2 linked regions of the Canis lupus familiaris genome follow. Each later gene encodes a partner of the first gene's protein in a complex. Links are inferred from orthologs where the notes say so. Each region holds a gene or a part of one and is shown on either strand. Other genes may lie near its edges. The genes, in order: EIF3I and EIF3K.

Evidence for each region.
Region 2: EIF3I (region 1) and EIF3K share a complex: the UniProt entries of both Homo sapiens proteins name them as parts of the eukaryotic translation initiation factor 3 (eIF-3) complex. The link is inferred for Canis lupus familiaris from reciprocal best matches to the Homo sapiens genes EIF3I and EIF3K.

The regions. Positions count from the first base shown.
Region 1 is NC_049223.1:68,374,949-68,378,413, forward strand, and holds the end of EIF3I (eukaryotic translation initiation factor 3 subunit I), read right to left. Parts: intron 2,427-3,465; coding exon 2,316-2,426; intron 2,191-2,315; coding exon 2,101-2,190; intron 1,802-2,100; coding exon 1,728-1,801; intron 1,221-1,727; coding exon 1,128-1,220; intron 972-1,127; coding exon 890-971; 3' UTR 799-889; downstream 1-798. UniProt on the Homo sapiens protein: Component of the eukaryotic translation initiation factor 3 (eIF-3) complex, which is required for several steps in the initiation of protein synthesis.
Region 2 is NC_049222.1:115,272,246-115,276,823, reverse strand, and holds the start of EIF3K (eukaryotic translation initiation factor 3 subunit K), read left to right. Parts: upstream 1-1,705; 5' UTR 1,706-1,804; coding exon 1,805-1,863; intron 1,864-2,869; coding exon 2,870-2,968; intron 2,969-4,172; coding exon 4,173-4,293; intron 4,294-4,578. Other genes in the region: MAP4K1 (mitogen-activated protein kinase kinase kinase kinase 1), read right to left, coding at 1-39, 155-212, 383-481. UniProt on the Homo sapiens protein: Component of the eukaryotic translation initiation factor 3 (eIF-3) complex, which is required for several steps in the initiation of protein synthesis.

The sequences.
Region 1 (3,465 bases):
TGTCTTGTCCTACTTTATTCCAGTGCCCAGTACAGTATCTGACTGGCAAGAACATTGGCAGGAAAAAAGGACAGGTCATCACTGCCCCAGGAGGTGGCTGTCACCCTACTCACCAGGGTCCCCAGTCCCGAATCCCAGAAGGCATAATCTGAGTCTGGAAACTCACTCCCTAGAGATGCCTGTGTAAAGTAAGGACTTGAACCCACTCCTTGTGGTCTGGGCTCAACCAGCCAAATGAGCAACGGAAGCTCCGGAACTCACTCTACATCCCGAATCCCTTGGCCATCTGGCCCTCTGTGGAGCCCCAGAGCCTGCGACTGTGGCAAGGTAACCCCCAATCCCACCTTCTCCCCTGTGGAGCTAGCCCCTCTGCCCAGCTTCATCTGTCCTCCTCCACAGGCCTGTTTCTGCACTGGATCTGCCTGCCTGAACCTTCAGAGGTGGCATGGGAGAAGGTGTGGCAAATAGTGACAGATAAGGAGAAAACAGAGGGCTGTCAGCCGACAGTTACAACCTCTGAGCTCCAACATTAAGTGCTGGCTCCTTGGATGATGGCTGTAATGTTCCTGAGACACCCCTCACCCCACAGGGTCCCTCAGCACCATTGGACCTTGGATCAGGGCGTCTGCAGCCCAGCCTAATCCAAAACATACAGAAGCTCCAGGTTTGACGCATCTTATAGTGTCAGGAGAAGGTCTAAATAATAAAGATCTCCACGACTAGTATACATTTTCTGGGGTGTCACTAAGAAGGGAAATGAATGAAATAGTCCCCACAAAATTTCTGACCAGAAACCACTTATTTCCAAACTAATTTACTTCTCAGAGTCCAAAACTTTGTGAGCCCTGGCCCAGAAATTTCCCCTGGCCCTGATGGAGATCCAAGCTTCTTAAGCCTCAAACTCAAATTCAAAGTACTGTGGGTCGAAGTAGTGGATGCGGACATAACCATCTTCACCGCCGCTGCTATAGCTGGAGAGGGAGAGAAAGTCAGGGACCAGTCAGGTGTCCCCTCTGGGGGAAGGCTGGCCCCAGTGGAGGAGGGAGGGAGAGGGAGGGCAGGGCACGGGAAAGGGCCAGAGGCCAGATCTGGGCTGAGCTCAGTTTCCTGCACGAAGCCCTCCCTACCTCTTGCCATCGGGATGGAAGGCAACGCTGTTGATGGGTCCGAAGTGACCCTTGACTCTTCCAAACTCTTCTTCAAAGGCCAAGTGGAAAAACCTGGAAGGGGATGGTGGGAAGGGACAAGTCACTCTCCATCTCCTCTCAAAACACAATGCATGTACCACTCCCCAAAGGGAAAGCAAAAAGTGGGGAAATGGGGATGAGGGGGAATGAATGTGAACAAAATAAGAGGAGGCAAAGACTGGACCCAAGTGTCTGCCTGCATACCCAGCTAACATTTCCTTACGGTGTGCTGGGCAACGAATAGTAACTCATGCATTTGATCTGCACAATTTTATAAGGTAAGAATATTATCGTTGTCTCCATTTACAGTGGAGGAAACCAGGCACAGATAAATAGGAGGAAGGGTCCAGGACCTCAGAGTGAGCCCAAGGTCATGCTCATAACTGCTACATTATACACATGTCCTAGGAAGGCCACAAATCTGGGTGTACCGCCTAGCAGGCAAGGAAATAAGGGAAGTCTCCACAAGTATATGGTTTGTGTCCATCATGAAAGACACTCTGTGGGGTTTCAATGTGAAAGAGCCCCCTCCCTCTTTACCTGGCTTCAAACTTGCCAATCCTGGTGGAGGTGGTGGTTACATCCATGGCTTCCTGACCACCACCCAGCACCACCTGAAGGGAAAAAGAAACTCTAGACAGCCCAAAAGGGCTGCCAAGTCCATCTTCCGTGTTTCACCCCTAGCCCCATCAGACTGAGAGGATGCTAAGGGCAGGACCCAAACAGCTACTTCAGCCACCTCCTACCCTGCCCCCTCGGGCTTTCCAAGAATTCAGCCTTCTCATTGCTCTGGGAATCTCCTCTCTGCCTGACACTATTTCCCAAAGAGTTCCTATCTCAATTGCTTGGTGAACACTTAGATCTTGGAAGTATTCTGAGGCTGCAGCAGGAAGCCTGGGTGGGGTTCCCTTACATGGTCATAGTTGGGAGAGAGGGCAGCTGAGTTGACTGGACGTTCTGTCCGGAAAGTCTTCTGGTGTTCAAGAGTTGTGGAGTCAAAGAGCTAGAAAGAGAAGATGGGGGGGGAGGGGAATCTATAAAAGGAGTTTTCTTGAGGGAAAGTTGGTCAAGTTGAAAGCTTTGTAGGGGAGTAGGAGCAGCCCCACCAGACTCCTTGCCCAGGCTCACCTTAGCTGTGTTGTCCTTGGAAGCAGTGACAAACATGGTCATGTCCCTGGATAACTGGATATCATTGATCTGCCGGGAGTGCTCCTTAACATTCACCAGTACTTCTCCAGACTGGGGAAGGCAGAAGAGTGAGGCTCTGGGTGGCCTGAACTCCACCAGCACCACTGCTCCACCGGGGTTGTTCTATACTGCTCCCTGTCTGGGCTGGGGGGGCGGGGCGGGGGGGGAGGCCTGGGTCGGGTGGGCCTAAGTATCCCCTGAACCAACATTCACCTCCGCCACTGCCCCCAAGCCCACATCCTAAACCTCACCCATGCGTACACATTTCATAAACACAGCTAGTTCATCTAGGAAAACACATGCTCATGATGACAAATCTATGGACCTATTAACGAATCAGGACATTACAATGGTAGAGACATCCTTCACTCACTCCTTCTTTTAACAAATAGTCACTGAATTGTGTGAATAGTCACATTTGCCAAATATTGTGCTACATAATGAATGAAGTCAGCTGACTTCATCCTCACAACCATCCTACGAAGTGGGTATTTTATTTTATTTTATTTATTTTTTTATTTTATTTATTTATTTATTTTTTAATTTTTTAAAATTTATTTATGATAGTCACAGAGAGAGAGAGAGAGAGAGGCAGAGACATAGGCAGAGGGAGAAGCAGGCTCCATGCACCGGGAGCCCGACGTGGGATTCGATCCCGGGTCTCCAGGATCGCGCCTGGGCCAAAGGCAGGCGCCAAACCGCTGCGCCACCCAGGGTTCCCGAAGTGGGTATTTTAAAGGACATTTTCTTTTTTCTTTTTTCCTTTTTTAGGATTTTATTTATTTATTTGACAGAGAGATAGAGCACAAGCAGAGGGAGCAGCAGGCAAAGGGAGAAACAGGCTCCTTGCTTGGCCGGGAGGGGAGTTCAATCCCAGGACCTTCGGATCATGACCTGAGCTGAAGGCAGAGGCTTAACTGACTGAGCCACCCAGGCTCACCCCTTAAAGGACATTTTCAAAGGAAGAAAGTAAGGTTCATAGGGATGATATGACTCGCTGGAGGTCCTGCCACATGTAAGATGTAGAGAGCCTGTGCTCACCCCCTTCCCAGCTAGTTTGGAGCCACAGTCCACCAGTACTGCTGCATGT
Region 2 (4,578 bases), on another chromosome or scaffold:
AGATGAGGATTTCCTTCTGAAGTGTGGAAACATCATCGTCTGTGAGGAGGAACAGGAAAGAAAAGGCCACTGTGGGAAGGGAGTGTGGGGGAGGCGATCCCAGTGTCCGGAGAGGAGGCATAGGGGTGAGGGGAAGGAGCTCCTGTGTCCTCACCAGGCTCCATCTTCACCATCTTCACTGCCACCAGGTCCCCCGTCACCTTGTCTCGAGCCTTGTAAAGGGGAAGTTGGCAGTCAGGCAGGCTCCATTCGCCTGAGTTCCTCCTCAGCATCCCTGAGCCAAAGCCAGGGACTGGGATCCTCTATCATCCCCTTCCTTTCTTGGGCCCCATCCCAATGGCTCGCTGGTTTGAGGGTGATGGAGAAGGAGGGGTGTCCTCACCTTGAAGACTTCTCCATAGGTGCCGCCACCCAGCCGCTGCAGGAGGTCATAGTGGTCCCGGGGGTCTCGATTAAAAATGTCGGGGTCCACGAGGTCCATCCCTGGGCGCTGGAGCTGGGCCTGCGCCCAGGGGCCAGCAGGGCCTCAGGGCTCGAGTGTGGCACCTCCCTCCCTCCCCACACGTCCTGCGCCCTGCACCCGCCTAGCCTTGCCTCCGCTGGCTGTGGCCTCCCCCCTCCCCACTCTCGCTTCCTGCCCCAGCACAGGGCTGTGCAGCCGGCTCCACCCCCTATCCCCTGGGCCCTGAGAGCCTGTGAGGGGTAGCTTGCCTTGGGACCCAGGGGACCCCCCCCCCCACCTCCAGGACCCGGGGCTGAATGTAAACCAGATGCAAACTATCTTATGATCTGGGGGGGTTGCTCTGGCACCCCCTCCCGCGTTCTGGGCGGTGGCTAAAAACCACAGTTGAAACTCTGCTGAGTGCTTGAGGGTTTGGCCACCATCCGGAGATGGAAGGCCTGCACAGGAGTGGCCATGCAGTGTACGTGCCCGTTCTCCGGGGTACATGTACACACCCACCTGTGTACCCACTGTGCACAGACCAGTAGCCGGACACATGCCTGGAAAGCCGTGTGCATACATGCGGTTGTACCCAGAGCACATACCCCCACGGATGTGACACATGCTTGTGCATTCACGCCTAAAGTGTGCAGAATGGTACACATGTAACTCATGAGAGCACACACAGGGGTCTCTCCCCTTCTGCAAGACTGGAACCTAAAGGGGCCTGAGCGCCCTGCGGCAGGGTCCAGGAGCCCTTCACCTCAGCCCCTGCACGGCAGGGCACCACAGCTTTCGGGGTGCCCACCTCTGGGGCTGGGGCGGAGGTCGGGGAGAGGTTCAGGGCTCCAGAGCTCAGGATCTTGCCCAAGAGGCCGAGGCCTGGGGCAAAGGGGACCTCAGAGAGCACCTCCCTGGGGAATCTGGCCAGGGCCCAAACGAAGAGATACGGCGCGCATATCGGCACATTTTTGTGAGTTCACGACCGCGCGCAACACGCCGCGTGCAGGACGTTAGGGAGCCGTGTCCCCGCGGGCGAGCTCGCGCTCACGTCCCGGGGGCTAGAGCTCGGCGCGCGGGGCCCGGGAAAAGCCTCGCCCCGCCTCCTCGCCCGGAGACGGCGCCTGCGCACTGGGCTACATTAAGCCTTTTCTCACGCTGTCGGTCCAGCTCGGGGGGCGCTTGTGCGCACGCGCCAAATGCGCCCGCCGGGAAGAAAGTCACGTGGCGGCCGCCGCAGGCGCCGCGGAGGAGACAACAACGTAGTTTCCGTTTCCGCCACCTCTTCCTCTTCCGGTCCTCGAGGACGCCGTACCGGCTGGGTCTCCTGCTCCCGCCCGGGTGTGGGAGGCGACGTTCGTCATGGCGATGTTTGAGCAGATGAGAGCGAACGTGGGCAAGTTGCTCAAGGGTATCGACAGGTCTGAGCCCGGCCGGAGGGAGCGCTTGCGGCCGCGCGGCGTGGTGGGCGGGATTTTGTAGAGACCGCAAGGGGTGGTCGGGTCCTAACTTGGCCCGGGGGAGGCTTTCCCGCTTCTGGAGGAGTGTGAGGAAACGGCCCCACAGGGGCCTACGGGCAGGAGACGGCCCTGCCTACCTCGCAGTCCTCGGCTTTTTCATTGCTTTAAGGTCTCCAACTGCTTCTCCGCACTCTGCTCCTCAGCCTCTCACTGCGTGTGTCATGCCTTTTCATCTCCTTTTTTCTTACCTCTCATGCCATTGCTTCAGCACACGGCACTGAAATCTATTCCATCAGCGCTGGGCAGTGCTGGGGAACCAGAGGTGACCAAGACAGCCCCGGGCCATGCTTTCATGGGGGTTCCCAGTTCAGAGTCCATACTAACCGGGCAATAGGCAGTGATAGTCAGCAATCATCGGGGCTGGGGTTGGGGAAGCCGAGCAGGAGAGGATGGGGATAAACCAGGATAGGGGCCTGAGGAGGGGGGAAGGGGATGAGTGGCAGAGATGTCCAGGAGGCCTGGTGTACAGGTTGTGATTACTGATTGGTGGAGGGATCGGGAGGACATCTGGGAAAGACCCAGGGCTCTGATGGAGGTCAGAGCTCAGCTTAGGTGTGTAATGTGGATAAGTGTTATTAGAGGTTATGGAGCTGATTCAAGACTTTGATACAGGGGCAGCCCCGGTGGCGCAGCGGTTTAGCGCCGCCTGTAGCCCAGGGCGTGATCCTGGAGACCCCAGATCGAGTCCCGCATCGGGCTTCCTGCATGGAGCCCGCTTCTCCCTCTGCCTGTGTCTCTGCCTCTCTCTCTCTCTCTGAATGAATGAATGAATGAATAAATAAATAAATCTTTAAAAAAAAAAGACTTTGATACAGTTGCAGGTTACAGTGGCCTTCTCCTCTCTACCCAGAGTGACTGGCCTCAGCTCCTGTTTCTTCTCTGCTCACCCATCTTGATTCTTCTGTAGGTACAATCCTGAGAATCTGGCCACCCTGGAGCGGTATGTGGAAACACAGGCCAAGGAGAATGCCTACGATCTGGAAGCCAACCTGGCTGTCCTGAAGCTGTGAGTCTCTGCCTTCACCCCCACCTGCGTGACAGCGTAGCCCGCAGCATGCCACTCTCAACATTGGATGAGGCCAGAGTTGGGGGGTAGTCTTCAGGATGTGACTTCTCTTGGTGTGTAAGACAAGGAAGCCAAGACAGTTGGGGCAGAAGGAGAGGTAGTTTTTTAAAAAATTAATTGCAGGTTGCACGAATAGGTTGGTACAAAACACAAAAATATGGCTAAATAAGTATAAGTGCAAACCTATGTGGACATCACACTTATTACAAAATTGAGTGTTGTCAGGTTCCCAGGCTCTTTGCCTTGTGTGCTTTCTGCCAGCCACCTCACCCCTGCCCTGGTAACCACTTTTATGCTCTCATGATCTGGCTTCATGTGAGTTGACCACACAAGCATTCATCCTGATTAACTTGGCTTAGGTTTGCCTGTGTTGGATATGACATAAATAGTATGTGATGTGAGCTTTTCTGCATCTGGCATCTTCTGCTTAGCACCAGGGTTGTGAGATGGATCCATTTTTTCCTGCAGCTGCAATTTGTCATCATTTTAGTATAGTGCTTCACTGTGTTTTAATTACCCTTTCTCCTGCTGATGGGCATTTGCATCCTTTCCTCACAGCAGTTAGGTAATTTTTATACATTGTCTCAGTTTTGGTGTCTGTAAAGGAGAGATAAGAACACTTTGTATTTGTGAGGTTGTTAAGATTGTTACTGGTGTAACTGCTGCTTAATGAGCACTCATCTGTGGTAGCTACTGCGCTGTAAGCTTTGTATGTATTAACTCAGATGTCGAACTGTCTTTGTGAAGTAGATAGGGTTGTTGTTGTCCCTTCTAGGAGGGGACTGATACACAGAGAATTTAAAAGAACTAGTTCAAGGTCACTTGTCAGGGAAGTTTGAACCCAAGCAGTCTGGCTCCAGAACCTCAACCACTGCTTTAGACTATACGTAGGTATTGGTTTGTTTGTGACCACTTAACAGCATCTGCCTTACAGAATGGTTGAGAGGATTAACTGTTCCCATCCACAAGCAGGAAAGTGGGTCAGGGAGGTTAAGGTCACAGAGCCAGAGTGCTGTGTTCGGGGTTGGAGCCCAGGCACGTGCCAATTCCTGAGCTCTGAGCCACACAGCACTGGGTATCTGGTGAGGCCCAGGGACCTGAAGAGGTCTGGGCCTCTTGCTCTGTCTCTTGTTCCCCTTCTCAGGTACCAGTTCAACCCAGCCTTCTTTCAAACTACGGTCACCGCCCAGATCCTGCTAAAGGCCCTCACCAATCTGCCCCACACCGACTTCACACTGTGCAAGTGCATGATCGATCAGGCACATGTATCCTTCCAGCTTATCCGTCTGGCCGGGTGTGTAGGACGGGGTGGGGGCAAGGTAGATGAACTCCCCGGGAAGTGGTCTGTGGGTTCAGCCACAAACTCCTGGATTTGGTGCAGTACTGGGTGGGACATTTTGGTGGCTGCAACAGACCTGGCCCCTGCCCTCACAGGGCTCACAGTCCAGTAGCAGAGATGAGTCCTCTGTCAGTGACAGCCTGCAGTAGTCAGGGGTTGGGGTTTAGGGAAGCCAGGGGAGGCACCTGTTAGGAAAGGCTTCTTGGAGGAG